5 linked regions of the Mus musculus genome follow. The protein of the gene in region 1 purifies or fractionates together with the protein of each later gene. This does not show direct contact. Links are inferred from orthologs where the notes say so. Each region holds a gene or a part of one and is shown on either strand. Other genes may lie near its edges.

Region 1 (5,864 bases):
GGGTAAGTGTGTGTGTGTTCACACATACACGGACATGGACATGTGTCTTCCTTGATTGTCTTCCACTCCATTACCAAAGCAGGGTCTCTTGCTCATCCTGGAGCTTGTCAATTCACTAGTCTAGCTATCCATCTGCGCTAGGGATCCCCTGACTCCCACACAACAGTATTACAGGTGGCCACCACCCCTGGCCCCCGACTTTAACGTGGGTCCTTGGGATCCAAACTTCAGTCCATGCTTGGGCAGTGTGAATGTTGTCCACTGAGCCATCTTCCCAGGCCCCAGGGGTAAGCTTGACTGAGGAGTGAAGGCACAGTGTTCACATTTATGTTTTACTGAAAGCAAACCATCACACAGAAACCAGGGGAGACGGTGGGTACGCTCACCCGTCTGCTCCATGTAGGCTTGGCAGTGCAACATGCTGCATCTTAAATATGTACACAGCAAGCAAACAGAAAAGCCAAGCAGTGGTGGAACCTGACTTTATCACTCAGGAGGAAGAGCCAGGAAGGTCTCTGTGAGTTTGAGGATAGCTTGATCTATAAAGTGAGTTCCAGGAAAGCTTGGGGCGACAGAGAAACCCTGTCTTGACAAACCACATCCTGCCCCGAAATAAAAAAAAAAGAAAAGAAAAAACCAGAAAGAGGCAAAGGATCTCTACTGGAAACAAGTGGAAAGCAATCTCTGCCTCAGTTTCCCTGCCTTGACTAGTACTTCCCAAAGTTAAATGTACACACCAAACATCCAAGGATCTTGTTACAGACAGATCCAAGGTAAGTAAGTAGGACCTGGGCCTGTCCCTGAGCTGGGGCCAGCGGCCCCACATATAACAAGGCCACAGGTGACATGGTGCTGCAGCTGCAGGGATGGACCACGCTGCACAGCATGGTTGCAGTTAACGGACATCCCACTCTTTGTCTCAGTCTGTCTGCCGTAACAAATACAAATCCATGCTGCTACCGATCAAACCAAGCAAGTAGCTGATCATATAACCATCCAACCAATCAGTCAAAGACAAACTAAATCTCAACAAAATCCAAGAATGGGGCGTACAGAAAGAAACTTGTTTGACGTAGGGGAAAGCAAACACAGGAAGTCACATAGTGTATATTTACTTACAGGTGACTCTGGGTTTATCCTCGAGACCACGAGCGGCATCTTTTGATCCACTCCTCCCTGTAAACATTTTTCAAAGTAAGCAAAATCAAAAATAAAACAGAACACTTGAGTAGTTTTGCTAACAAAGGTATGTAGACATAATAAATATGAGCCTTAAGAATTCAGGAAGGTTTTACGGGAGGATCAATCACGGGGGTTGGGGACCCCTTTTGGAATTCTAGGGCACACTGCTGACTCCTCTTTACCCAGAAGCATATCCTGACATTCCCATCACCTGAACTGAAGATGCCCTTGGAAAAAAACATTTCCTGGAAAAGAATGTGTGCTTACTTCTTCAAAAGAGGAGGCACAAGACCTCAGGAAGGGCCATGTGCACTGGGATGCTCCCCGTGTGAGCAGAGCTCTAGAGGGCAGGTAGCCAGCAGGGGCAGTCTGCTCACTGCGCAGGAGTGGGGGTACAGAAGGAGTACAGAGGTGGGCGAGGGAATGGGCATGAGAGAGACGGAAGTTAGATGCTTCCTCGATAGGTATTTAAGCAGTGTGGGGAAGAGGGTCCTGAGGCAGTCACTTAACCCCACCACCCAATCCCTGAAGCTGTAATCCAATGGGCACAGCACCCGTTTCAATAATGCTATATACACAAACAGATGGGAACTGGGTGGTGACAGCAGTTTGCAGCCACTGCCTAGAGGGACTCATTAGACCCAGAGACTTGAGCTAGCTGCCTTCACATATCAGCTGAGCAGGGCTGTATGGGCCTGGAAATAATCCCTCCTGGGTGGGCTGTAGCTGCATTTGATCACCAACCAGACACTCAACTTTCTGAGCCCCGGGATTCCTTTGTAAGATGTGTTTAACGGCTGTTGTATGCTTTATTTATTTCCTTCATTTTGAGATAAGGTCTCCATAGCTCTGGCTGGCCGTGAACTTCATACACAGTCTAGGCTGACTTAGAATAAACTGGCTCTGCTTATTCTGAGAACTCACTACAATGACAGGGATCTAGTCTTGCAAATGTTGGGCACATAACAACTACATAATACGAGGCAATTGAACTACTACATAAAAAGCCAGTTCTTATCCCTGAGTAGTTTCCCTTTATTTATTTATTTATTTATTTATTTATTTATTTATTTATTTATTTATTTTTGAGACAGGGTTTCTCTGCATAGCCCTGGCTGTCCTCCTGGCTGTCCTGGAACTCACTTAACTCACTCTGTAGACCAGGCTGGCCTTGAACTCAGAAATCTGTCTATCTCTGCCTCCCAAGTACTAGGAGTAAAGGCATGTGCCACCACTGCCCAGCTGTTTTTTCCTTTTTTTTTTTAAAGTGTATTTATTATGTATGAGTGCTCTATCTGCATGTACACCTGTGTGCCAGAAGAGGGCATCAGATCCCAGTACAGATGGTAGAGTCACCATGTGGTTGCTGGGAATTGAACTCAGGACCTCTGGAAGCCACTGAGCCATCCCCAGCCCTGAGTAGCTTTTCAATAGTGTGTGCACACGTGTGCTTGGGTTTGCGTTCACACATGTGAATGTGTGGCTATCAGTGGAGGCCAGAGGTCAACCTCGGGCTTTCACTCCTCTGCTGCTATCTAACTTGTTTCTTGAGGTAAGAGCTGGCCAGGGCTGCACCTGCTTCTGTCTCCCCCCTCCCACCCCACAATCTCTGTTAGGTAGATCCAGGGACTGAAACCAAGTCCTCATGCTTGCATGGCTAGAACCTTACCAGCTGAGCTCTCTGTAGCTCTAAGTGAGCTTTTCTGCTTTTTTTTTTAAACGCAGCGTAGGTAAGGTAGTAGATTTCTGACTGAAATTCAGAATCCACCTGAAGACTGTTTCGCTTGGTACCACCTAAGAATGCTACAGACGCTCGCAGTGTACCTTAAGGTTAAAGCCAAATCTTCCCTCTTCATCTGGTGTGATCCGGATCAGGACTAGGTAGCCATCTCCATCGTCACTCTAGAAGACACGTGAGAGGGTTGTTTACACCACTTCCTTCTGCAGTGGCTGGTGACAAGGTATTTTTCTCTCTGTGAGAACGAGTCACCAAGTCACGAGCGAAAGTGCACAGGACCCGGAAGTCCCTCACCTTATCACAGTAGTACTGGCTGGCGTCCTCGACGAACCCCCCTTTGGTCACCTTGTGGTAGTCTTCTAAGAACCGCTGGTCAACTCCATCTGGAGAGCAGGAGCCTGGAGCATTCGAAGATGGAGACACAGAACTGGATGACTTCTGGGTCAGGCAGCTTTGGGCTGGGTTGTTTTCGGACAAACTCCTTCATGGTGAGGAAAGAGATGTTTTATAAGTCAATCAATATTATCAGAGAAAAGATCATTGGTTGTTAGGGGCTGGCATCTTGAGATCACCACGGGGTCCTGGAACCTGAGCATTTCTGCAAAAGTCCTTGGGCTACCCATGCTATCATCGAGGCTAAACAAAGTCAAATCTGACTTAGGGCAGAAGGGCAGGGGGGACCAATGGGCCCTGAAAACAACCCCTACCCTAGTTGCTTTGAAGGTTGATGGCGAAATGTGTAGATCCACTCTGGTTTAATACGAGAGCTGTTGCCTAGGCTGGTTTTGAACTTCTGGCTCAAGAGATTTTTCTGCCTTGGCTTCCTAGCTGGAACTCTGCCTGGGACCCACTAATTTGAACATGCCAGGAAACAGAGCATCATTTGTGGAATAATGACCGGCAGGAGCTATACATTGATAATTGTTGTAACTAGCACAGCAGCCTGCAAACTCCCACGTGGACGGCTTCTCCACACACTGCACACATTCCCACTTCTGCTTTTGCCTTCACTAACACTCTATCCCAGGCCCTTGCCTGCGACTGTTCTTTAAATGATGCTTCTGTTCACGAGCAATTTAAAATCGGGGGGGACAGGGGCTGGGTTTTTTTGTTTCTCCTTCAGTGTTAAGAACCCAGGACCTCTCACATGGTAAGCAAGAACTGAGCTATTACCCCCCACCCTACCCCACCCCCGCCTAAATTAGACTACTCTAAATATAAAATCTGTACCTATTCGCACACAATGATTCACAGTCTTAATTTATTTGAACAAAATATTCACTGGGAGACCAGTGTGGAAACAGATATGTGTAAGAGAAGAATTGGGCCTGAAGGATTACTGGTTGTCATCTCTCAAGCCTGTGATATTAAAAAAAAAAAAAAAAAAAAAGGTCCTTTCAATAAAATTGTATCAATAAATACCCTGCTTACTTACGTTTTAAAATTTTAGTTCATGAGTTTTTATTTCACAGGGTTTCAAAGTGCTTTTTTCTTCCTAATACAAAACTCTGGTCTAAAGCCAGATGGGTCTACATAGTGAATTCCAAGATAGGCAAGGGTATATATAGACCCTGCTCAAAAAAAAAAAAAAAAAAACAAAAAAAACAAGTAAAACAAAATTAAAAATAACAAAAGTCTCCTGATCTAGCTCAAACAGGGAACATGGTGCTGGAGAGATGGCCCAGGGGATAAGAGCACTTGTTGTTCTTGCAGAGGACTTGCATTGGGTTCCCAGCACCCACCTGGTGGTTTATAACCATCTACAGTTTCAGTTTCAGGGGATTCAATGTTCTCTTTATGAACTCTGTGAGCATCAGGCACACATGTGGTGCACATACATACATGCAGACAAAACACTCATACGCAAAAAAAATATAATAAATCCTAAAACATTTTGATTCTATCTTCAAATAGCAAACAGCAGTCACTACACACACTGACATAGTTTAAGACACCCCGCATCCCAACCTGTCTTCTAAGTAGGGTTGGAGGAGAGTTAGCGTCAGGGTGGGCTAAGGAACAAGTGGCTAGTTTTTGGACCTATCAACTACACACTAAAGTTCATCCCTGCAGAAAACAATGACATTCTGCTTGGTATAAAGGGTGGACGGACAGAGACCCAAGGAGGAAATGGGACAATGAGAAGGTGGGCGGAACACTAGGATGCCGGGAGAGAAGAGGCCAGGATGGTCAGGGCTCCCTGCGGAACTGCAGGGGATTGAAGCTGTAGGGAGGATTCATAGGCTACTGAGAAAGGCGTGAAGGAAGCAAGAAGCCATTTCTGAGCAGGAGACAGGCAACACGATGAGACCTGTCCCCATCCTCCAGAAAAGAGCAGTCAGAGTGGGACAGGCACACCCCAGGCTCTGGGGATGAAGGCGCAGAGGCAGACTGTCAGGCATCCGAGGACTACCTATATAACAGGCACCAGTGACAAATGCCACCAGAGAACAGTATTTTCTGAAGAGCTGCAACGTTAGAGAGATGAGGAAGAACAGCACTCCCCCATCAAAGACGCACGAACGTGGGATGCTTTCTCTCATTCCAAAGATGTCTGCGAGGTCCAACCACATGAAAGAGAATGGCAGCAGGAAACAGGACCAAGGAAGACTGAGGTTCCCAGCAGGTGCAAACTGGGTGGCTCTGAGACAGTGGTCCCTCCCAAGACACACGGGAGCCATGACACAAAGATGAAGAGCAGAGATGAGGTGGGGAGGTTCCAGGATCTTGTGGGTGTTTACCCACCTAGTCCGGCTCAGGGATAATGGCAGTCACCACCACCCACAAGGAAACCCTGTCCCTGGCTGGCTCCCTGAAGAGACAGACCCCCTCCCATATTTGCTGCTGTATTCTGGTAAGGGTGCCTAAGAATAGTGGAAGAGAAGGGGAAGGTAGAAACTGGCAAGAAGAGCCAGACTGCTTAAAGGAAAATAGGCAGGGCTGG
Region 2 (5,864 bases), on another chromosome or scaffold:
GTTATTAAAAGTCATTCTGAGATCTGTTTTCCATATTCATCTGGGTTTCTCCCCTCACACAGGAAGTTAAAAAATAAATTATATTTCTAGTAAAGTTAAAGAAAATTTAGCAAATCACTGAGAAAACCTGACAAGTGGGATGTGCATGGGCTGAGACCCCACCCCCACCCGGAGAACCATGGAGAACAGAGGTGGGCAATGAACTGCACCGTGCTACCTGCGAACCTGCACCTGCTACTGCGAACAGGTCCCTTAACCTGTCCTCAACTGGAAGAGATGTTAGCTGTTGTCCCACCTGCCCTGACCCCCAGAGGTGGGGTAAATTAAGTCCAAATATAAAAAGCCCACGTAACACCTAAGGCATCAGTTAAGAGCTAGGTCATATCTTACATCTATTTATGGAATTTCACAGTCTGCAACAATACTCTCTTCCATTTCTGAAGGTTTTCAAATAAACCCCTAATGATCCCTGCTCACGAGGAAAGCCACAGCAAGGGCCTTTTACAAGTGCTAACAAGAAGCCCATTTTCTTTATGAACCTAAAGAGTAGGCATTCTTTTGAAAACTCTCAAAAATAGCTCAGACCATTCAGGAAAACCTCCTTTGAAAATGAGAAGAAAGACCTCTCCAGCACTCCACACCTAAGCGCAATAGGTCACTCTGCAGCGAAGGCTTTGCATAAAGGGGAGGCAGAAGGGCCTGGGGTTCTGGTTGGGTCTGCTGACGACCTGCTATTCTGATGTCTGGGGCTTGCTTTGTCCTTCCTGCTCCCCCCTTCCTCCTGTTTTAACAATTTATAAAAGGGCTTAGAAGTCATATTTCTGCCCCACTGGTTCTTCCCACCATGGCTGGGCTTGGGCCAGATTTAGCCCATGGAGCAGCAGGTGATGCAAACTGGTTGTCACAGGTCACCTAGTGCTGTCCAGGGAGAGACAGGACACCTTTCCTTCCACCTCAGAATTCAGAATCACCTAAGGGTCAAACCAGATCACATAAAAGGAGGGAGAGTGAGGACCCAGGGAAGAAATTTCTCTCAAATACTCCCCTCCAAGCCCGTTAGACATGTCACTTGCAGTTTTCCTAGGACCTGAGGTGAGCCTTACAGAACTTCCTGAGCAGCAGCGGGCCAGCAGTCCGGGAGCAGTCTGGCTTCTCCCACCCAGTTCTGCCCCTGACCCACATAGCAAAGCTGCTGACAGGGATTCTTTTCCTACTTTGCAGGGGCCGTTGGGTCGGCCCCTTCCATTTGCACCCAGGTCTCATGTAGGGGTGAGGTCAACCTGTTTTTGAGAAGAGTGGGAGCCCAGAAGGGATTGTTCCTCCCATCAACCTGGACTGACCTAAGGTGAGGAAGACATTACCCTTCTCTGTGCAACTGGGACGGACACTACTCAGAAGGAAGACCGGGACATAAGGCTACAGCTATCTGTCCTTCACAGTCTGTGGCTGCCACAGTCCCAAATGCTATTCACCTGCTAGGAGACCACAGGTCTGGCTGCACAGCATAGATCACAACAAAACCGGCCTCGGAGCTGGGCTGTTTGCCAATAGGCTTCATAGCTGCCGCTCACTGGCTGACTGAAACTCCCTATCTTCTTGTGCCCTGGTCTCCATCTCAGGCTTGGCAGAGCAACTGTCCACTTCAAAGCCATATGCCAGCGACTCTCCAAGTGCCTGGGATCCCCAGAAAACCCTGGGAGATATCACTGGGGAGGGGGTCGGGTGGGGAGGGGTCCTTCTCTAGTATAAAGACTGGGGAGAGAGTTCTCTAAGGTTCCAGTGCCCCAGTAGCTTCCTGGCTTCCACAATTTTACTAGCATCTCTGGGGGATTAGAAACCAACTTATCCTTCATGGCACACCAATTCAAAGAGAAACTCCCCTGGGAATCAATCATGGTGACAGCAGCCTTGAACACTAAAGCAGCCTGTCTCAGGCAGGACGAGCTGAGCCAGAGGACACAGATGAGAGTGTACGTCAGCAGGACACTGGATGAGCAGTGGGATCTACTCCAAGCGGGGCTGGGCCACTTCTCTGGACAGTAGCTAGCACAATGACAAAGCCAGTTATTCTAGTGACCACAGCGGTGTTCTCACCAGCCCTGGCTGCTTTGCCATGTGACACATCAGCTTTTACTGCTCAGGACAGTGAAACTTTGAAGCCAGGCATTCAAGGTGACTTATTTTTATATTATTGTGAAGAGATACCATGACCAATGCAATTTATGGAAAAAAAAAAAGCATTTAATTTGCGGGCTTATGGTTTCAGAGGTTTAGAGTCCATAGCCATGACTGTCATGGCAGAGAGCATGCAGCTGAGAGCTTACATTTCTCAGGCAGAGGCAGAAAGGAGAGAGAGATGATTAGAAATAATAAATGAATGGAAATGGATGGAAACCACAAAGCCCACCCTCACTGACATACTCCCCCAACAAAGCCACACCTCCTAATTCTTCTCAAATAGTTCCACCACCTAGAGACCATGCATTCAATACATGAGCCTCTGGGGCCCATTCTCATTCAAACCACCACAGTGGATCAATCACCCAGGAACCACATGGCTGCCAACTGTGAATCATGCTCCATGCCAGGCACCAAGGATGTCAGGTGGAGTAAGACACACTGTGTATCATTAGGGATCTCAAAGTATATGGAGGGGAACAGATGGAAGAAGAAGATTCTGCACGGAGGGAGAGATGTCATAACTGGATCATTCACTCAGCCCAACCGCATGACATTCAAGGGATCCTGAATAAAGCCGGGCATGCCTGGTGTGTTGTGTAAATTACTTACACCCTCTACCCCAGCTCTTTATCCATAACACTGGGATGAATAAAATTACATGAGGTTTTACAGTGATAACCAGCATAGAGTACTTACCTTCATTTATTTATAAAACAAACGTTTAAGAAGACTTTCACCTTTGAGTTAACCATGGAATAATACACTAAAGTTATGCACAGATAGGAGGTTGTTTTTTGTTGTTGTTGGTTATTTTTTTTGGTTTTTCGAGACAGGCTGTCCTGGAACTCACTTTGTAGACCAGGCTGGCCTCGAACTCAGAAATCCGCCTTGCCTCTGTCTCCCAAGTGCTGGGATTAAAGGCATGTGCCACCACGCCCAGCTACCGATGGAGTTTTAACCTTTCTCATATTACACAAACACTTTCAAAACATTCAGTCCTTACATATTTGTAGTCTGTAGCTGGAGTCTGACTCTTTTTGTTGTTGTTTGTTTGTTTGTTTGTTTTGAGACAGGGTTTCTCTGTGTAACCCTTGCTGGACTGTAATTTATGCTGTAGACAGGCTGGCCTTGAACTCACAGACATTCGCCTGTCTCAGCCTAGTGATGCTGGGATTAAAGGTATGAGTCATCAACATTGGCTGGAGCCCGACTCTTTATTAGTCACTAGGGTGACTACATAATTGACTGACCAAACAGGCTGTCTGAGAGTGGAAACAAAAAGGAAGAGCTAACAATCCCACTGAGGTACCAGGGTAAACTTGATACACCATTTTTAAAAATGGCATTAAAGTTTTAAATACTGAATTCAGGAGTGTGATGTGTACTTGCTGTATAAATCTATACATTTCATAATGTTTTTGATAAAGTACATCATGTACTTAACTATATTCACTAACCCATAACACCACCCCCCTTTCCTATTTCTCCTCCCACCCTGCACCTCCATTTCCCTTTCCTAAATAGATCTCCTATTTTCATGTGTGTGCATCATATATATATATATACATATATATATGTATGTATATATATACACACACATATAAATATATATGTATGTATACATACATATGATACATACATATGTGTGTGTGTGTATATATGTGTGTGTATATACATATAAAACCTAGGTCTGCATGACAGAAAATGGATTACCTGTCTTGTAGGTCTAGCTTACTTTGTTTAACATGATCACACCAATTCTGTCCATTTTTATTCTTCTTTATACCTAAATAAAACTCTATTACATATATATGTATATATACATACATATACATATATATTATATACACACATATATATATAAATTATCAATTTTTAAAAATAATCCATTCATCTGCTGGTGAACAACTAGGATGATTCCAAAACTTGGCTATAGTAAGTATCTGCTGCATCATTTTGGACAGAATGGAAGTACTAGTCACCTTATCCATTATCCCCAAGCCAAGTTCACAGTCAAGGTAGGTAGCCATCATTGTGTCTATCTTTGGGAATTGCCATTGAGGTAGAGTGTGAGTCCAGTAAAACCCTGAACTTATCTGAGAGTCCCATGGAAAGGCACGGACACCCCACAGCTCACCCAGCCCCTACTAACACCAAGGGTCAAGCCCCAGTCTTAGCATCGCGGGAAAGGCACAGACACCCCACAGCTCACACTGCCCTTAGTAACACCAGAGAAGGGTGGGGCTCCAGTCTTAGCATCTGCCTCTAGGGCTTCATCTCACCCCTGCCGACTAATAACATCTGTCTTCTAGGGTTATTAGTCATCCTTTCTGCTTACTCCGTGTGCATGCCCCTTACCTCAAGTGTCCCAAGCTGTAGAAGCGGGACTCTCCGTCGGTGGAGCGGACCACCTGCAGGGTGAACATGGGTTGCAGCTGCCTCAGCTCCAGCAGGACGATGGCAAGGTAGTGGATGAAAAGCAGCGCGTCCACAAGAGAGACTGCGTATTGCACGATGTCCTTGTAATTTTGGTCCCGAGAGTCCAAAATGCGGACCCCATAAAAAAGCCAGTAAGAAACCACAAAAAGAAAGATAAGGACCAGTAACAGCGCTCGGAACACAAACACCCGCGGCACATCCGCTCTTTGCTTGCGGAAGAAAAGTGCCCAGGTTCCGATGAGCAGAATAAGCAGTTTGAATGATACAGAAATGAGAAGTCCCTCACAAATGGCGCCACAGGGTTTCAGCTCCTCCCTCCACAGGATTTGGGGTAGCAGGATGAAGGCAATGGGGGTGAGGAAGACAAGTAGTCCAAGGAACGAGGCAACGGTGAGGCCCAGATAGCGCTTGCAATCCAGCCCCACACTGTCCTCCATGTCCTTGCTAATCCTGGCAATGTCCTCTTGGGATATACTGTGCTCTGAGGTGCCTGTGATTGCGGTGGTGGTCTCTCCCCAGTTGTCATCCTGATGACAGAGAAGATAACGAGGATGATTTATAAAAGCCACAACAAAATAAAATACTTCAATTAGCCAACTTTTTTGGAAGTGTTCATAGAATCAGCTTTTAATACAGGGACATTTTTAACTATAGCTATTTTCATTGAAATTTTCGCCATATATTTTATGTTTGCCCTTTGAACCCAGAAAACACAATCTAACCTTTCAATTTGTTTGGGAGATTTCATTACTATGACACCTTGTCATCCCTCGAATTGAAAAGTTCTGGGAAGCCCTGGGTCTAGGCCTTTCTGCTCTGACATTAATAGCAGCTGTTAGACTGAGCTGAGCTGACTCCACTACAGGAGAACAGCCACCCTTACCGCAGTAAACTCCGCCCATGCTAAGTTCTAGGCTTACAAAGCCCACATCCAGACACCCCCGCCCCCCAGTAGCTCCACAGAGCAGAGAGCATAAAACAGGAATTCCCAGCACACAGAGGTCAAACTCACCCACAGCTGAAAACACACTACCTAAACTTCTGTATGACATTTATAGGACTCACTTCGGTACAGAACAGCATTGAGGATTCTTTGACATCATTTCTCACTGACTAAATAAAGAAAATTCAAAACTCTATGGCCAGAAGAGCTCAAAAATTCTCTCTAAAACATGTTTTCATAATAAACTGAGTGAGGGTATAGGACTATCAGGGTTATTATATCTTTCACTTCATTATTTTCT
Region 3 (5,864 bases), on another chromosome or scaffold:
TCAAAAAGACTGTTGGGTTAGAGCTAAGAGCACCGGATTTGGGTCTGGCTCTGAAGGGGTCGGGGTTGCGGGGGAGGGGATAGTTACGTGGAAAGACAGATGAGGAAGGGGACAAGGGTCTGCTTTAGTTTCCCTCAAGATGAAGTTTTGAGTCCTTCCCTTGCAGTTCGTCGCCTGCAGGTGAGGGAAGAGTTGGATCGATCTTCCTGCGGAAATGTCCTCTTCAATGGTTATCTACCTCCTCCAGGTGAGCACTCCCAATTGATGCTAGGGAGAGGGAGATTGGCTTAAAGACTACATTTCCCATAAAGCTTCAACCCTTAGGTGTTTGGAGCCCTGAGGTGCACTGGGAGTTGTAGTTCTTTATCAGATGCTTGGAAAGGAAATAGGAAGCAGCATTTTTCCTTGAAGCTGTGCAACAGCCAGTTCTCTTTAGAGTTCAGAAGCATGCACGGGAGCTTGATGGGAGTTGTAGTCTGAGTTTTCTTAAGTTTCACCCCATTCTTCAGAAAAATAAATAAATAAATAAATTTAAACTTTATCATGCTAGCTTCATTGGATGCTACTTTTTGAGGGTGGAGGTTCTATGATACGGAGTCTCTCTCATAGCCCTGGTTGTCCTGGAACTCACTATATAGACCAGGCTGGCCTTGAACTCATAGGGATCCTCCTTCCTCTGTCTAAGCCTTTAAGATTAAAGGTATACACCACCACACTCAGCCATCCACATTATCTTTTGAGGCATGGTCCCAGCAAACCTGGAGTTCACTGATTGGCTAGGCTGGCTTGTCAACAAAGTCTGAGCACACACCTTTCTACTGTCTGGGGGTGGGGGAGTCCAAAACGTAGTTTTCTTATGCCTATATAGCAAGTGCTTTACCCAGCAAGCCATGTCTGTAGCTCCTACAACTATATTTCTATTTTATTCTTTATTTGTTATAGTTCTAGAGTTTGCGCCCAGGGTTTTGTACATGCTGGGCAGGTGCTGTAGCATGAGACTGCCCTCCCCCCGCCCCCCACCTCCACCCCCCTCCTCTCCCAAGCCTGACAGGTGAATTTTAGGCAGGTGCTCTACTTCTGAACCATGCCCACAGCTTTTCCCCAGTAACAGCAAGGAACATGTTCATGGTCCAGCTGTCTTTATTTTTAAAAATGTTATTACATTTATGTATGTATGTATGTATGTATGTATGTATGTATGTATTGGTTTCTCAAGACCAGGTTTCTCTGTGCAGCCCTGGCTGCCCTAGAACTTGCTCTGTAGCTCAGGCTGGCCTCGAACTCAGAGACCCACCTGCCTCTGCCTCCCAAGTGCTGGGATGAAAGTTGTGTGCTACCACCACCCGGCAGAAGTATTTATTTATTGGGCACGTGGTGGGAGGGTGCATGAATGGAGATCAGAGGACAACTTGCAGAAATTGATTCTCTCCTTCTACCGCACATGTCTCAGGATCAAAGTCAGGATTGCCAGTCTTGGTGGCAAGCACCTTCACCCACTAAGACACTTGCCAGCCCTCTGCTTCATCATCGTTATTATTATTTTATTATTACTGAGACAGGGCCTAGCCTTGAACTTGCAATCTTCCACTTCCAGATTTCCAAATGGCTGGGATTTCAGACCTGCCTGCAAGGCCTGGCCAAGTTAGCAAACACTGAAAAGGCACCAATATCATAGCAGCACCAAACCAGGTCTTTCCCTGTGACGGGTTTCCGGGTCATTGAATGCTGAATCCCGGCACACAGAGCACCTGCCCCAGGACACTGTGCCCCACACAGGGAATCCATGCCTCTCATGGTTTAAGTGTTCATAGACTGTCCGCCACGATTTTAATTGTGGTGCCCGACACTTCCCCTCACTATAGTGTTCCCAGTGAAGCGGCGAAACCGGCACAGCCTGGTGGGGCCCCAGCAAATAGGGGGACGCCCAGCCCCTGTTCGACGGAGCAACACGATGCCCCCCAACTTGGGTAATGCAGGGCTGCTGGGCCGAATGTTAGATGAGAGAGCACCTCCATCCCCATCAGGTAAGCTTGGGACTTGAGCTTAGTGCGTGCGTTCTGCCTCTGTATATCCCTAGCCTTCTTTTACTTTTGTTGTTGTTGTTGATGATGTTGTTGTTGCTGTTGGAGACAGGATCTTACTCTGGTCCAGGCTATCCTGGAGCTCAAAGCAATCCAGTCCTCCTGCCTCAACCTCCCTAGTGCTAGAATTATGAGCTCAATGTTTGCTCCTCATGTTCTTAGTTTTATTTGATGATTATTTTTAATTATCATTATTGTGTGTCCATGTGTGAACTCAGCATAATTGTCAAAGGATACCATGTGGGTTTGGGAGAACAAACTTGGGTTGTCCGGCATGTGCCAGGACTGCTTTTGTATGCTGAACTAGCTCCCCTGACTCCAGCCTTTACGCTCTGTTTTAAGACGGGGTCTCACTAAGTTTCCCAGGCAGCCTACACCACCAGATGTAGCTTACATTTCTGTCCTTTAGGAGGTCAGGGCCAGTGGGCCCCTGTGACCCTGCTCTGCTCTGCTCTCTTACCCCCAAGGCCAACCAGAGGAGCCAGGGATGGTGCGCCTGGTGTGTGGTCACCACAACTGGATTGCTGTGGCATATACCCACTTTCTCGTCTGTTATAGGTGCTGAGGGTGGGGGTGTGGCAGTGGGAGGCTCTGCCCCTGTGGCTAGGGTGGCTCTGAGGTGGGGGTTACTGATGTCCCTCAATCCCACAGGTTGAAGGAAGCCTCGGGCTGGCAGCTTGCATTCTCCAGCCCGCGCCTGGACTGGCCCATCGAGCGCCTGGCTCTTGCGGCTCGGGTGCTTGGCGGTGCTCCGGGTGAGCATGACAAGATGGTGGCTGCAGCTACTGGCAGCGAGATCCTTCTGTGGGCCCTACAAGCACAAGGTGGTGGCTCTGAGATAGGTATGTCTCATGATCTTTTCTAGAACTCTGTAGACTTCTGTAACTTGTTAAAATATCTCAACTGAAACTCAGAAACCCATGGGGGGATGGGAATTCTGTACAGAGTCAGTCTTTTTGCCTTGTGAGAAATGTGTTAGACCTTCAGAACTCTGCACTTTTCATTGTTTCATTTTGCCTTAGACAAGGTTTTACTATGTAGCCCAAGCTAGCCTTGAATTCCAAGTCTTTCTGCCCTTAACTCCTGAATACTGCCTTAGTCAGGGTTTCTATTCCTGCACAAACATCATGACCAAGAAGCAAGTTGGGGAGGAAAGGGTTTATTCAGCTTACACTTCCACCCTGCTGTTCATCACCAAAGGAAGTCAGGACTGGAACTCAAGCAGGTCAGGAAGCAGGAGCTGATGCAGAGGCCATGGAGGGATGTTCCTTACTGGCTTGCTTCCCCTGCCTTGCTCAGCTTGCTTTCTTATAGAACCCAGGGCTACCAATGGGCCCTCATCCCTTGATCACTAATTGAAAAAATGCCTTACAGCTGGATCTCATGGAGGCATTTCCTCAAGGGAGGCTCCTTTCTCTGTGTTAACTCCAGCTTGTGTCAAGTTGACACACATGGAGGGATGTAATCCAGCCAGTACACTGGATTACAGCCACCATACTTAGTTAACACACTGGTTTATTTTATTGTATATTGATTTATGTGTCTGAGAAGAAAGGAACATGCATGAAATCCTGGATTTAATCCCAGTACCATATAACCTGGGTATTGTGGTACATAGCTATAATCCAACACACAGAAGGTAGGGGCCAGCCTGGGCTACATGAGACCCTGACTCAAAACAATAACAACAAAAATCAGCCTTTAGTTGCTGTCATAGCCCTTTGTTCCAATGGAAGGAAACCTCAGCCTGTTAGGATTCTACTCACCATTACACTCCCACACCCATCAGATATTCTGTGTAATTCCTGGAATCCTCTTTGCCGTGGATCTTGTTTCCTGATACAACCTGCGGCCCTGGGGCTTCACCCCCAGCCCTGCAGTGGGGTCCCAGCCTCCTCTTGAGCACCACCCCCTCCCTTGCCACCTGCAGGTGTCTTCCACCTGGGTGTGCCAGTGGAGGCCTTGTTCTTTGTTGGGAATCAGCTCATTGCCACAAGTCACACAGGGCGCATCGGTGTCTGGAACGCTGTGACCAAGCACTGGCAGGTGAGTCTGGGCCAGCCTGGCTCCCTCTTCCCGAGTGTCTGTGACTATGTAGGCCCAGGGTTTCTTCCTATTTCACTCTACCTAGAGAAAGAGGAAAAGAACCCTACAGTAGGTGTGGGATAAAAGTCCATAGAACATCCAAGAGGCCTTCCTGTAGGAGTGGCTGAAGAATCAACCTGAAGGATGGATGAGTTTGGAAAACCGTGGGATTCTTCGAGCAGATGTAGAGGTGGCAGGATGCAAGATGGCAGGATGCAAGATGATGGCAGGGTGCAAGATGGCAGGGTGCAAGATGGCAGGGTGCAAGATGGCAGGATGCAAGATGATGGCAGGGTGCAAGATGGCAGGATGCAAGATGGCAGGATGCAAGATGACAGGGTGCAAGATGGCAGGGTGCAAGATAGCAGGATGCAAGATGATGGCAGGGTGCAAGATGGCAGGGTGCAAGATGGCAGGATGCAAGATGATGGCAGGGTGCAAGATGGCAGGATGCAAGATGGCAGGATGCAAGATGACAGGGTGCAAGATGGCAGGGTGCAAGATGGCAGGGTGCAAGATGCAGGGTGCAAGAGGGATGCGCCTGTGCACATCACTCCATCCAGCCCAGGGGCCATATCTAAAACGTGAAGGAAAAACATGGAATTGTAGTGTATTTGGCCTACAAAAGTATACTGGGAGAGAGACAGAAGCACAGAAAGAAGCACTGAGAGAGAACCAGGAAAAAACAGTGAAGGCAGGAGACACGGAGGCAGGGCAGATGGAGCAAAGTCAGAACGATGGAGCCAGGCTGGGTCTGCTGGTTCAGGCCTATAACCCAAGCTATTCAAGAGGCTGATCCAATGCAAGACCAACCTGAGCTACAGAGTAATCCTGGGCAGCTTAGTGACAGTTGCATCAAAATGTGTGTGTGTGTGTGTGTGTGTGTGTGTGTGTGTGTGTGTGTGAGAGAGAGAGAGAGAGAGAGAGAGAGAGAGAGAGAGAGAGAAAGAGAAGACAGCAAAGGCTGTAACTTAATGATAGAGTACTTGCTTAGAGTCCCCCAGTGAGGGGCTAGGGATGTAGCTCAGTGGTAGAGCCCCTGCCTAGAATCTCCTAGTGAGGGGCTGGGATGTGAGTAGGTCAATGGCAGAGTGCTTAGTTAACAGGGAGGAGAACCTGTGCTAAACAAGATACTAAATACACATCACACACACATATCACACACACACACACACACACACACACACACACACACACACACACACCCCACTCTATAATCCCAGTACATGGGATATAGAGGAAGGATCATCAATACTTCTAGGACAGGAAAGCTTGGGCTGTTTATCTAGCAGGTTCCATACCAACCTGAGGCACATGGGGCCAAATGTCAAAATTCAACAAAAATGGGTCTGGAGAGATGGTTCAGCAGTTAAGAGCAGGCACTGTTCCTTCAGGTGTCTCATGTTCCATTCCCAGCATCCATATCAGGAGGCTCACAACCACCTATGACTGCAGCTCCAGGAGCTCTGACACCTCTGGCCTCTGTGGGCACCCACACTCATGTGTACACACTTGTGCACAGATATATACATACATGATCTTAGAAAACAATTTTTAAAATCTCAACAAAGACAGAAGAAGAAGGGGGTCAAGGAACAAATGGCCTAAGATAGAGAGGAAGGTACATAGGCCAGTTACAGAGAGAGCCATAGACACGGGTGGCCACTGGTAAGGTTGAAAGGAGTAGGTTCAGGCCCT
Region 4 (5,864 bases), on another chromosome or scaffold:
AAGAGATGCCGCTGACCTCTGACCACAAGCCTGGTAGGAGCTAATTTTCTATCTCTCCCTCTGGCGGTCCATCTCTGGCCGGCTCATCTCAGTAACATGTACTGACTACTCACACAAAATAATAATAATAATAATAATAATAATAATAATAATAATAATAATGCCTCCGAGAAAAGGCTAGAAACCTTCGGTTTATACCCCTTACCTCTCTTCCTCTTGGCCCATCCTCCTCTAAGGGTCCTGATTTCGAATTGCACGTCACTGCCAGTTCACAACTCCCACTGACATCTTGCCCACGACTTTGTCGTTAGGCTGAAAATGCCACTGAACTCTTACTATGTGCAAACCACCTTCCGCCCAGCCCCACTAGTTCATCACGTATTGTCCTCGCCATCCCACCCTCGCCCCGCCCCCTCCCCCTCCCCCTCCTTCCCCTAAACCTTTTCGGGTCTCATCTGGGTCTCATCTTTGTCCTACACCAAGTCCCACTTTACTGCCGTGCACCCATACCTGAGATGGCCGACATTGTAGAAGCGGCTGGCCCCATCTGTGGATCGCACGACCTTGAGTGTGAACTGGGGCTGGAGCTGACGGAGCTCCAGCAGAACTACGGCCAGATAGTGCACGAAGAGTAAAGCATCCACTAGAGAAACGGCAAACTGAACCACGCCCTGGTAGCTCCGCTCCCGGGCGTCCAAGATGCGCACACCGTAGAAGAGCCAATAGGAAATAACCAGCAGGAAGACAAGCACCATGAGCAGAGCTCGTAACACGAAGACTCGGGGCAGTGAGGCCTTGGGCCGGCGGAAGAACAGAGCCCAGCTGCCCAACAGCAGGATGAGCAGCTTGAAGGCCACGGAGATGAAGAGGCCCTCACAGGCCGTCCCACACGGCTCCAGCTCCTCCCGCCACAGCAGTGGAGGCAGCAGCAGGAAAGCCAGCGGGGTGAGGAACGAGAGCAGCGCCAGAATGGCCCCTGCCGCCACGCCCAGGTGGCGGGAACAATCCAACGGGACACTGTCCTCCATGTCCTTGGCGATGCGCGTGAGGTCATCATGGGAGATACTGTGCTCAGAAGTGCCCGTGACCACCGTTGTTGTTTCTCCCCAGTTGTCATCCTACAGTCGGGAAGGTGGGTGGAGCGGAAAAGGCAGGCAGAGCAGAGGTACACATGGGAAAGCGGACAGGAAAGAGAAATCAACACATATACAGTCATCAGAAGTCACTGAGCTTCACTGTGTGCCTGTCTTGTCGCTGCAGAAACTGCCATCTAAAACCCAAGTCCCTGGGGCGCTGCACTGAGGTCAGGGGGAAAGATACCACATGTGCATCGATGGCCCTCGAAGGGGAGCACAGGACAACTGCCAAGGGAGCGTCTCGAGCAGTGACAGTGACCCAAGGGCAGGCTTGCCAGGCAAAGCAGGCAGCTTCCAGACAGTGATAGGACCCGAGCTGACCTCCAGCAGCGGGTGACATACAAGAAGCTCATCTGAATTAGTGGTTCCTAACCCCAGCTGCACACAGTAGAATCACCGAGGGAGCTTGGAAAACATACCAATTATGCAAAGTGAGATCTGCTTGTCAACTTTTTTTTTTTTAAGCTCCCAAGATGATTATAATGCTCAGCCAAGATTGGGAACTCTCGGAGCTAAGCGATCTCTAGGGGCCGCTAGTCAGAATGCACTCTGCGGACCAGCAGTATGGAAATCGCCTGGGCGAATGGGAGAAAGGCAGACCGGCAGGCCCATCCCCTATTTACTAAGCCACAATCTGCACTTAAACAAGATGCCGATGAACCTGTTCCAGCATTCATGTTCTAGATGGGCTCTCCTAAGTTTCTGCCAGCCTGTGCACTAGTCCATGGTTTCAGCAGAAGCCAGAGCTAGAATATCCAGGGCAGAGATTCATGAACCAAGGCACCCTGAGGAAAGAGAGAAGCAGGGGTCTCCACGTGCAGGAGCAGAGAGCACAGTGGCTAGGAAGGGGAAGTCAAAGCCACTTGAGCAGGCCGTGTGGCGATGCCAGGAACAGACATCTATTCCAGCCAAGTGAGGTGATACATGTCTGTGATCCCAGAGCACAGGAGGCTGATCAAAATCAGCCTGGGCCACAAATCAAGACAATCTCAAAAAGAAAAAAAGAAAAATCCAGGGGCAGTGGTATATGCCTGCAATCCTAGCACTTGGGAGGTGGAGGAAGAAAGGTCAGGGGTTCAAAGCCATCCTCAGTTACATCAGTAAGTTCAAGGCTAGCTTGAGCTACATGAGACCTTGTCTATCCTCCAGCCATGAGGAGCTACTGCAGTTTCTCATTCAAGGAGAAGAAGGGAAAGGAAGATCAGTGAATGACCTAAATAAAAGATGGGAAACTCACTGCAGACTCAGGGTCACCGTGGGTCTCTATAAAGCTAGCTCTGTGGGGTGACCACCCGAATACCCATGGTACAAGATCTGTGGATGTCAGCATAGACAGATGGGCTCTCGGGTGCCCTTCAGAGTGTGGTCTGCTCAAAGCTGCTTCTCTGCATTGGCTAGAGAGTATCCTACAGAGATCTCCCAAGACCACCAGGACTTTCAGGACCCACAGTTCACGTCCAGCCTGGGCATATGGAATCCTACCCTAAACCCCAGGGGATACAAACTACAGGACTGAGATATGCAGTGCAGAGTAGGAGGCCACCTGGATGGGCCAGTGGCTACAGAGCTGAGGAGTCTCCTCTCCCAAGGATGGGAGAAGAATCTTATCTGAATATACAGGGCAGAAGAGCTGCCCACTGTCAGCTGTGGGACTGGAGCCACCCCACCCTCACCCAGTGACCCCCAGATACACTGCCTACCCTCTCAAAGATCAAGGCAGGAAACCCCACCCAACAGGAGGTGAGTTTAATCATACCTCAAAGTCACTTCAAAAATCCATGAGGCCTTATATTACAGAAAGAAAACAGTTCCCAATGTCAGACAGGCCCCTGCCCACCCAGGAACAAGAAGCTAAGAGTCTCCACTGCCTAAGATACTCCCAAGAAGAAAGAATAAGAATAGACTTGGGCAATCTCAGTGTCACCACAAATCCTGTCCCTCCTAAATTCCTGGACTGTGTCTTGCCTACTGTCCTCTCTATCCAGGGAGTGCAATGGACCAGAAGTCAGGACAGAAACAACTGCTCTTTTCCAAGGTGCCCCCTCTAACTGCCCAGTCTCTCTTCTGAGTGCCCCAACCAGCTCCATTGACTCTTTCCAAACCCCTATTCCCTAGGACCTAGATGATGCTGTTCCACAAGCTAACAGCAGAGGGCGAACATCTGAGGCTCGAGGGAAACCTGTGGCCTACCCACCACCACCGCTGCCCTCCTACTCCAGCCTGCGCCAACCTTACTGGCTGCCAGGAGCTTCGGAACAGCAGGGAAATTTCTCCTCACTCAGCTAAACCACCTCTGCCCCTGGAGATCAGGTTGAAACTAGTACCTCCAAAAGAGTTTCCACTAACATCTAAATTCCCTGAATTCCCTGCAACAAGATCCCCCCTTGGAACACGAAACAAAGGACAGGCATAGTAGTCCCTTCATTTGGGACTCAGGGACAGGAGGATTCTGTTTATAAAATCAGTCCAGGGGCCAGGCATAGTGGTGCACACTTTTAAATCCAGCACTCTGGAAGCAGGGCCAGGCAGATCTCTGTGAGTTCAATGCTTGCTAGGGCCACACTGTCTCACAACAAAAACAAGCTACATAAGTCGATCTGGTCTCGAAAAAAATAAATAAACAAACAAAAAAGATACCGTTCTTGATCTTGGGTGAGATGTATCCTAGATCTCTATCAGTCCTTGACTTGCCTAGGAGACTCCACCTACCCCAGAGGATCACAAAATATCTGATCTAAACCACTTTAGCCCCAGTGCTCACCCGCTCATCCCCCCTCGTGGACTCATTGTCCAGCAGGGGTTCTCCCGGAGCCTGGATCGTCACTGATTTATCTCCACGACTCCCATCCCGGCTCTTAGAGCGGTGTCGGTCCCGGCGGTCCCTGCAGCAGGAAGCCAGAGAAACAGAAACAAAGGTCAAGAGGGGATTCCAGGTCCCTTCGGCAGCCCCTTACCCCACCACCTTAGCATACACCACCTCTCTCTACCAGCCTGATCCGCTCGGAGCTAGACCCACCTGTGCTTCCGGGAGCTGCGGGAGTGGCCCGACTTGTAGGAATAGCCCGAGTACTGGGACTCGGTGTCCATGGCGTCCGAACGCCGTGCCTTGTAGCGCTCCAGGGCCGCGGGCTGGGACCTCTTGGGGGGTCCCACAGCCACCTCCTTCAGCACAGGCTTCTTCAGGCCAAGAGGCACCTTTAGGAAGTCAACCGTCACCCTGAGGGACTCTATTTTGCTGGACAAGTGGGCTTATCTCAGAGAAATTCAAGCGGCAGCTCCCTGAGAAGATAAAGCAACTGCTTAGAGGGTAGCTCAGGCTTTCCATAGGACAGGACACAAAGGAAAAAACATCTCCCCTGGGATCCCAGGCGCTCCATGAGAATACCTCATTCCTGGGTCCTGTTCTGCCCAACCGTCTCAGCTCCTCCGGCTTTGTCAGCTGGAAAGACCCTCCCCACCCATAGTATTCCAGGCTGGGAAAGATGCTAGCACAAGCTCCGAGGGCAAGAAGGACACCCAGAATCATCCAACTGGGGTGCCCGATGGGGAAGAATTAAAGCACTGCTTTCTTGTTCTCAGTCAGGAAAACAGAGACTCAGAGACACAAGTTTGTATGTACAAGCTTTCGAGAACAAAATCTAAATATCTCTCTCTCTCTCTCTCTCTCTCTCTCTCTCTCTCTCTCTCTCTCTCTCTCTCTCTCTCTCTCGTGGGTGAATGGAGATAGAGATTGGCATGGTAGAATAAAAAACAAAAAGAAGCATCTTCCAAACGCCTAACATCCCTGGGCAAGCAAGACAGAAGCCTATTTCTACTTAGGGCCCACGAGCAGCCTCCTCCATCTACACTGAATGGTTTTTCAACAGCCACCTGTCACCTGTCAATCATCCTTCAGAGCCCAGCCCCAACTCTCACAGATGCCCCAGGTACTCTAGCAACCAAGGTCATCTTCTCCACTGATGCTGGCAACACTAACTTAAGTCATTCCTATGCCTGAGCACCTCCTGGCTCCACTCCCTGATAAGCAAAGCTCTCTAAGTCACCTACAGTGAACCATATACTTTGCTATGACCTGGATATTGTGGTATAACTGGGTATATGGTCTGGGGGGAGATGTACACTAACAGGTAGGCAATAAATACAAGCAGCCACTTTAGTCAGTGCGGGGGAAGGAAAAGAACACGAGGTTACCCAGCAACAGACAAATGTATCAGGGATTGAACCCTGTATACTGAGCAAGCACTCTGCCACTGGGCTTGCTCCATCCCCAGCCCTGTGGAGAAACTTTAAACTGAATGTCTAGAAACTTGGGAAAATGACATCTGACCATGCCGAAGAAAAGAAGAAAAAGCCCAAGAAAGGGAGGGAATGACACCATACCATGGAAGGCCAAGTCAAGAAATGGCTCCGCGCAATTAAGAAACAATACACCACACAGCTCAGGGAGAGGCTGGCAGAAGCTGTAGGAGCCGCACAAAGACTTGCAGTTTTATTTGCAGGTTACTGGGAAGCCTATTTAGCTGTGCTGACTTGGATTGGAAAGAAGAAGCAGAAACGGAGCGATCGGTGAGAAGGTCCCTCAGCAGGAGGACTCGGCCACTAGACCCAAGTGAGACATAAGAAATGGAGTTGCAGAACTAACTAGACCTGATGAAGTGGGGAGGGGGGACACGGGCACATCAAAACCACCCAGTCAAGCACACACAATACGTAAGTAAAGTGTAATTT
Region 5 (6,620 bases), on another chromosome or scaffold:
GTATATGAATGTCTTGCCTACATATATGTATGTGTACCATGTGTGCACCTGGTGCCCAGAGGGTAACAGAGGTCATCAGATTGCAACTGGAGTTACAGACAGTTGTGAGCTACCATATAGGTGCTTGGATTTAAAGATCGGGTCTTTTGCCAGAGCAACAAGTGCTCTTAACTACTGAACCAACTCTCCAGCCCCAAATAATTTATTGCTTATAGATGATCTCTATAGAAAGAGATATTTTCCATTAAGAGATCTTTCCAATAGAGATACAAGGATGCTAACTCATAACTAATTTCACAGTTTATAAATAATCTAAGTGTTGTCAAGCATTCCTATGCTCATTAATCTAAGAAAGGAGCTAAAACCAAATTAGGTAGTATATTTCTCTAATTCCACTACTCCAGAGGCTGAGGCAGGAGAGTGAGCTCCATGCTAGCCTGGGATACACAGCAAATTTGAGGCCAGTGAGACTTTGTCTCAATATACATCTATACACACATATATGAAGACATAAGTAGAAAAGATTTCAACAAACATGTACTCGAGAAAACATGGCAATTTTCCCTAAAGGCATTTCTCAGCAAACTCTTAAATAGTTCTATAGGTTACCACTGGACACAGAAAACTTGAGTCAATTAAAAGAAAATCAGTCCATGGTAAATGGAAGCACTCACAGATAACGTCAAGTAATAATGGTAGAAGAGTTCATTTTGATTGTCTAGTGTTACCATGGAAACAAGCCTTTGGCATTTGTATGAAGGAGTCCCTACAATTAAACCAAGAGGGAAGATCTACCTTAATTTAATCCTAGCTTGTTTTCTGTTGCTATGATAAACACTGACAAAACCAGCCTGGGGAGAAAGGGCTTGTTAGGCTTACAGGCTCAGTCCATCACTGATGGAGGCCAAGACCAAGTAGAGACAGGAACTAAGGCAGGGAGCATGGAACAATGCTGCTCACTGGCTCCCCTTTCCTTTTTGAGAGAGCCCAGGCCTGTCTACCTCCGGATGGTACCACCCACAGCATACTGGGTCCTCCTGTCTCAATTAGCAAGGAAGAAATGACCCCTGTGGCTTGATCAGCTTTCTCTCTTATACAATCTACAATCACCTGCCCAAGAGAGGTTCCACACAGTGGGCTGAGCCCAAAGAACTCTGTACCTTAACTTTCAATGGCTTTGTCAGGTACTTAGTCACAGCAACAAAGCAGACAGACAATAACTTCTGACACTACATGTTCATCACTTTCAGGAAACCATATTAAAGCACACAAGCCTGCTTACAATCACTAGCATGGAGGACACAGCTATAGTCACAGCACACAGGAGGTGGGTCAGGCCTACACAGACAGTAGGAAGGAAACCTTCGCTGCACAGCCAATCAGTATCAAGTCTACCCACAAAACAATCTGCAATCTCTGGGCAAAGAGACTGGAAAACATATATATGATTAACATATTTTTTATTTTTAATCTCCTATCTCAAGTGTGCCAAAGAAAAGATGACTAAAGAAATTAGCATATCTGGTGATGTAGCATACCCACTCTAGTGGCTTGCTACAAAATCTGAACTATGAAGCTAAACATGAAACTATGAAGTAAAGTGATTTGCTATGAAATACTAAGATGATAATGCCTCTAAGCCTCAAGTTCATGATCATTTCCTCAGGTCTATTAGTGCATGAGACTAGTACTATAGCAACCTTTCATTTCAGGAAACTCATCAATACAAAGTAACTTGTCCAACTTTGCTAACTAGAGGGAAGGCCTGCTATGTGCAGAAGGAACCAGTTTGTTTCCAAACCTTTCCCTCAGCCAGTCCCTCTCCTTCCTCCATCCCTACCTGAGTAAGCATGGACTGGTCACTGATGCTGTCGATCATATTCACTCCCAGTGTGTACAGAAATCCCTTACGTGCTAAGCCAGACATACCCGAGCCAGCAGCATGCTGCTCACTGTCTCACCCTTGGGCAGCATGTCCTCTGACTTTCTTCTGGTTCTAAGTAAGAGCTTTCGGCACTTATTCAGTGACTCGGAGCTCCAAGCTGTGCCACAGGTTGTCTTCTAAAACGCTCAAGCCAGGAGTACATTTATTGTCATATTTGGTATTAACTGCTAACTAGCACCCAGTAAGAGTCACATTCCACAGATGAAGTGAAATCCTTGACAGCTCAGCCTTTAAGGCATCCACTTTCTTTCTTCTTATTACTTTCTTATTCACTCTTGATGCACAACGAAGTGCACATGTGGAGTCAGTGTCCTCCTTTCGTCTTAAGTGGCTTCCAAGGAGGAGCCTCAGGTGGCCAGTCTTGCTGTTGGTAAGTGCCGTTTTCAGCCTAGCCATCTTGCCAGCCACATCCATCTCCAATACACAATAAACAACAATGTAAGGGCTGAAGAAATGGCTCCGTGATTAAGAACACTTGCCGATCTTGCTAAGGACCAGAATTCAGTTCCCAGCATCCATGTCAGGTGGCTCTCAACAAAACTTACCACACCTGTAATCCCCGCTCTAAGGGACCCTTTCTTTGGCCTCCACCTGCACTCACACATACAAGTAAGACAGACCAATCTTTTCTAAAGTGACAATATAACTTAGTTGTTTGTCATAAAGCTATATTCTCTTGAATGCCTGGAAGGAAATATGTGAGCCATCCACAGAGAAACCAGGGTTAAGGTTTGCCACGAGCACCATTCTGCTTCTCTGTAGTAACACTGCCCACGCCTTTTGTGGACTATTTCACTTTCACATACCAGGTCACTTGCAATAGGTTCCTGTAATCGTAGGTGGGCAGGGAAGACACACTATTTACACTAGATGAGGTCATTTGCACAGGACCTAGTAAGTATAAAATGCAGCGGAAGTCATTTGCATATGACCTGCTACTTAAGGAATGCACTAGAGGTGCAAGGTCTCCAACTGTTAAAACTTTGCTTTGGAGGTAAAAGGTGACAAAGCAGGAAGACCACCCCAAGTTCTCCAGCACTCAGAGAGCCCATTGTTTCACAACTGTTAATTTGTATTTTTAAATAACAAAAGTGTTACACGTTTAAAATCTTAAGACATTGAAAACTAGCCTTCCCAGGACAACAGAATAGCCTGCGCATTAGAACCCCCCTCTCCCTCTATTCTTACTATGCCTTAAACCCAAGCTTCCCTCAACTAGTAGGGGCAATATCCTTTTCTGAGAAGAGTCATGTGTAAGTCACGGCAAATACAAAAATGGGTTTTTGGTTTTGTTGCTTGTTTGGTTTGTTTGTTTGTTTTGCCAACAAACTTCCACTCCAACAAAATGGGAGTGGAAGGTCTAATAGAGACTAAAGACTCAACAGTCCAACCGGTTGCTCCTATGCAACAACTCAAGCCCTAGCACGGGAGACGACAACCAGCTGCAACGCTGACAGCTCGGTGTCAGCATGCCTCAACCCTCCAGAGGCCCCAAGTCACTTGGTCAGGCAGGCCCACCATGCCAACTGTGTTCCTGTGGCCTTACTTACACCATAGGAACCCGGGGGAATAAAGACTGAGTTTTAACAGTCTATACACTCGACCTGGAACCAGACTCTGAAGAGTGCATAGGGCTGCTTGGATCATGCAAAATTGTACCTACCTGTCTCCGGGTCCCCCACCTGGCCGTGCAGACGCCGCCCTACCCTGCAGTGGGTACCCGACCTGACCAGGTAGATGCCACCCTGCCCTGCGGAGGGTACCCGACCTGACCAGGTAGACGCCGCCCTGCCCTGCAGTGGGTACCCGACCTGACCAGGTAGATGCCACCCTGCCCTGCCGAGGGTACCCCACCTGGCCGTGCAGACGCCGCCCCGGCTGTAACACCTATCCCACCTAGGCTGGCACATGCCACTCCTACAGCAGCGGGCGTCCCACCCACTGTTCCCGCGCGGTCGCGGGCTCACCTGGTCCCCCCCACATTCAGCTGCACGATCTCCCCGCTGCTGGCCGCCGACGCGGCGAAGCTGCCGCAATGCCCGCCCGCCATGTCTGCGGCGGGAGCCGGAGCCAGGGCCGGAGCCGGAGCCGGAGCCAGGAGCGGCGGCTCGGCGGCCGGAGCACACTCGGAACGCCGAGCCTCCCGCAGCGGCCCGGCTCGCTCCAGCCTCCCCCACTACGTGTTCGTGGCCTCCGCCGCTCGTGGCTGGAGGCCGCCGGCCCAGCCCGGCCTCTCCTCAGAGCCCACTCGCCTCCATGGCGGCCGCCACAACCATCTGGAGGACGGGTCGCCGCGAGGGACAAAAAGCTGTAGCGCCGGCGCTTCACGCTTACGAAGAAGGAGTGGGCGGGGCTGGTGAGAGGGAGGAGCTCCTGGCGATGGGCGGGGCTGGACGAAGGGTCTTCTGCCACCGATGGCCTAGGAAAGATTTGCCCCTTGCCTCTTCACCAGCACAAGATTTAGGTAAAAAAGAAACTTTCGCAGTTATTCAGACTGATCTAAGTACACTCGATGAAAAGATATTGAACACCATACAGCGCATTACCTGCAAACTGCATAGTTTCCATGCCACCACTCCTCAGGGCAGGAGAAAGCAAAAACCCTGCTGGAGTGAGCGGTATCCAGCAACATGTTTCTAGATTGTACATACACGCACTTTTATTTTCTTTACTGATTGATTTTTGTTTCTCTCTCTCTCAGCATTATGCATTGGAGCACCAAACCTTAGCGATTTCGTGTGTGTGTGTGTGTGTGTGTGTGTGTGTGTGTGTGTGTGTGTGAGTGTGTCCTCCTGGGGATGGAATATGATGAGGCCTTGTGCTTGCTAGGCATCACTGACCTAAATGTCCAACCTCTAAATCATACTTTTAAAGAGTACTATGGCAATGGGATGTAGGTCAGCTAATGGAGACAGCACACTATATTTCAAAGATATCTAATTCAACAAGCTAAACTGTAAGCATTAAATGTCTAATAGTTTTCTCATAAAATTTAAAACTGATGAACTATAAGAGGATAGAAAACATCTTATCCTCATTAAACATTGCTTAATTTTGCTGCCAAATATGCCACTGAGATGATACACTTTCTCCAGAATTGATGATTTTTTTTTTTTTTTTTTTTTTTGAGACAGGGTTTCTCTGTATAGCCCTGGCTGTCCTGGAACTCACTTTGTAGACCAGGCTGGCCTCGAACTCAGAAATCTGCCTACCTCTGCCTCCGCCTGGCTCCAGAATTGATTTTTATAAAGGACAGCCACACCAGATGTGCTATCCTGTAACCTCAGCACTGTGGGGGTAGGGGGAACCAAGGAAAAAGAATAAGGAAGGGACTAGAGGCCTCCTCAACTACATAGAATTTGAGGTCAGCCTGAGATACAGAGACCCTGTCTCAAAAAGAGAAAGGGGAGGAAAAGAAGGTGGGAGGGAGGGAGGGAGGGAGAGAGGGAGAGTGTGAGGGTAAGAGAGGGAAGGAGGGGAGAGAGAGACAGAGACAGACAGAGAGATTATTTCTGGGGCTGGTGAGATGGCTCAGTGGGTAAGAGCACTGACTACTCTTACGAAGGTCCTGAGTTCAAATCCCAGTAATCACATGGTGGCTCACAACCACCCATAATGAGATCTGACACCCTCTTCTGGCAGGTCTGAAGACTGCAGCAGTGTACTTAGGTATAATAATAAATAAATCTTTAGGCTGACAGGAGCGAGCAGAGGTCCTAAAAAATCTAATCCCCAGCAACCACATGAAGGCTCACAAGTATTTATACAGCTACAGTGTACTCATATACATAAAATAAATAAATAAATCTTGAGAGAGAGAGGGAGGGAGAGATTATTTCCCCTAGCTAATGGTAATAAGATGGAAAACAGCTCAACTCTGGTTCATTGTGAGCTTTTTAATGCTTTACTGGAGATAGGTACTGGGGATTGAACCCAGAACTTTACCCATGAAGAACACTCTACCACTCTCTTCAAAAAATAGAAGGTTGAGGGTGATAATCACCCCCAAAACTTAGTCAAAATTACATCACAGGCTAGAGAAAAGGGAGAATGGGTCTGATCAGATTTCACTGTGTCCAGGTGTGAAATTCACAACGAGCCAAATAAATGCTGTGCTTCTGAAGAGGGACAGTGCTCTAGAGTGGATATGGAAGGGCAGGCTAAGCTACTAGGAATACGAGTGTGTGTGTGTGTGTATGTGTGTGTATATGTGTGTGTGTTTGTGTGTGTGTATATGTGTGTGTGTATATATGTGTGTGTGTATGTGTGTGTATGTGTGTGTGTTTGTGTGTGTGTGTTTGTGTGTGTGTGTGTTTGTGTGTTTATATGTGTGTGTATATGTGTATGTGTGTTTGTGTGTGTGTGTATGTGTGTGTGTGTGTGTGTGTGTGTGTGTATGTGTGTGTATGTGTGTTTGTGTGTGTGTATGTGTGTGTATATGTGTATGTGTGTTTATGTGTGTGTGTGTGTGTGTGTGTGTGTGTGTGTGTGTGTGTAGCTTATCCACCTTCCCATGGTAGAAAGCCCGTGGAAAAGAAAGCTGCCTCTTGTAGTCTGTGTTTCTCTTGCTGTGATGAAACACAATGACCAAAAGCAAGTTGGGGAGGAAAGGGCTTGTTTGGGTTACACTTCCATAGCACAGTTCACCACTGAAGGAAATCAGGACAGGAACCTG

What was found.
Region 2: the proteins of Ptpn3 (region 1) and Vangl1 purify together in Homo sapiens (affinity purification with mass spectrometry; 4 studies listed by BioGRID and IntAct, with this or other methods). This does not show direct contact. The link is inferred for Mus musculus from reciprocal best matches to the Homo sapiens genes PTPN3 and VANGL1.
Region 3: the proteins of Ptpn3 (region 1) and Shkbp1 purify together in Homo sapiens (affinity purification with mass spectrometry; 4 studies listed by BioGRID and IntAct, with this or other methods). This does not show direct contact. The link is inferred for Mus musculus from reciprocal best matches to the Homo sapiens genes PTPN3 and SHKBP1.
Region 4: the proteins of Ptpn3 (region 1) and Vangl2 purify together in Homo sapiens (affinity purification with mass spectrometry; 3 studies listed by BioGRID and IntAct, with this or other methods). This does not show direct contact. The link is inferred for Mus musculus from reciprocal best matches to the Homo sapiens genes PTPN3 and VANGL2.
Region 5: the proteins of Ptpn3 (region 1) and Kctd3 purify together in Homo sapiens (affinity purification with mass spectrometry; 4 studies listed by BioGRID and IntAct, with this or other methods). This does not show direct contact. The link is inferred for Mus musculus from reciprocal best matches to the Homo sapiens genes PTPN3 and KCTD3.

Annotation. Positions count from the first base shown.
Region 1 is NC_000070.6:57,222,500-57,228,363, forward strand, and holds part of Ptpn3 (tyrosine-protein phosphatase non-receptor type 3), read right to left. Parts: intron 3,402-5,864; coding exon 3,215-3,401; intron 3,085-3,214; coding exon 3,007-3,084; intron 1,177-3,006; coding exon 1,120-1,176; intron 1-1,119.
Region 2 is NC_000069.6:102,179,412-102,185,275, forward strand, and holds part of Vangl1 (vang-like protein 1), read right to left. Parts: intron 5,148-5,864; coding exon 4,540-5,147; intron 1-4,539.
Region 3 is NC_000073.6:27,348,755-27,354,618, reverse strand, and holds part of Shkbp1 (SH3KBP1-binding protein 1), read left to right. Parts: intron 1-166; coding exon 167-247; intron 248-1,862; coding exon 1,863-2,024; intron 2,025-2,490; exon of another isoform or gene 2,491-2,548; coding exon 2,549-2,639; intron 2,640-2,732; coding exon 2,733-2,923; intron 2,924-4,011; coding exon 4,012-4,127; intron 4,128-5,864.
Region 4 is NC_000067.6:172,008,931-172,014,794, forward strand, and holds part of Vangl2 (vang-like protein 2), read right to left. Parts: exon of another isoform or gene 4,522-5,864; intron 4,416-4,521; 5' UTR 4,224-4,415; coding exon 4,153-4,223; intron 4,019-4,152; coding exon 3,898-4,018; intron 1,119-3,897; coding exon 511-1,118; intron 1-510. UniProt on the Homo sapiens protein: Involved in the control of early morphogenesis and patterning of both axial midline structures and the development of neural plate. Plays a role in the regulation of planar cell polarity, particularly in the orientation of stereociliary bundles in the cochlea.
Region 5 is NC_000067.6:189,003,618-189,010,237, forward strand, and holds the start of Kctd3 (BTB/POZ domain-containing protein KCTD3), read right to left. Parts: upstream 4,224-6,620; 5' UTR 3,996-4,223; coding exon 3,913-3,995; intron 1-3,912. UniProt on the Homo sapiens protein: Accessory subunit of potassium/sodium hyperpolarization-activated cyclic nucleotide-gated channel 3 (HCN3) up-regulating its cell-surface expression and current density without affecting its voltage dependence and kinetics.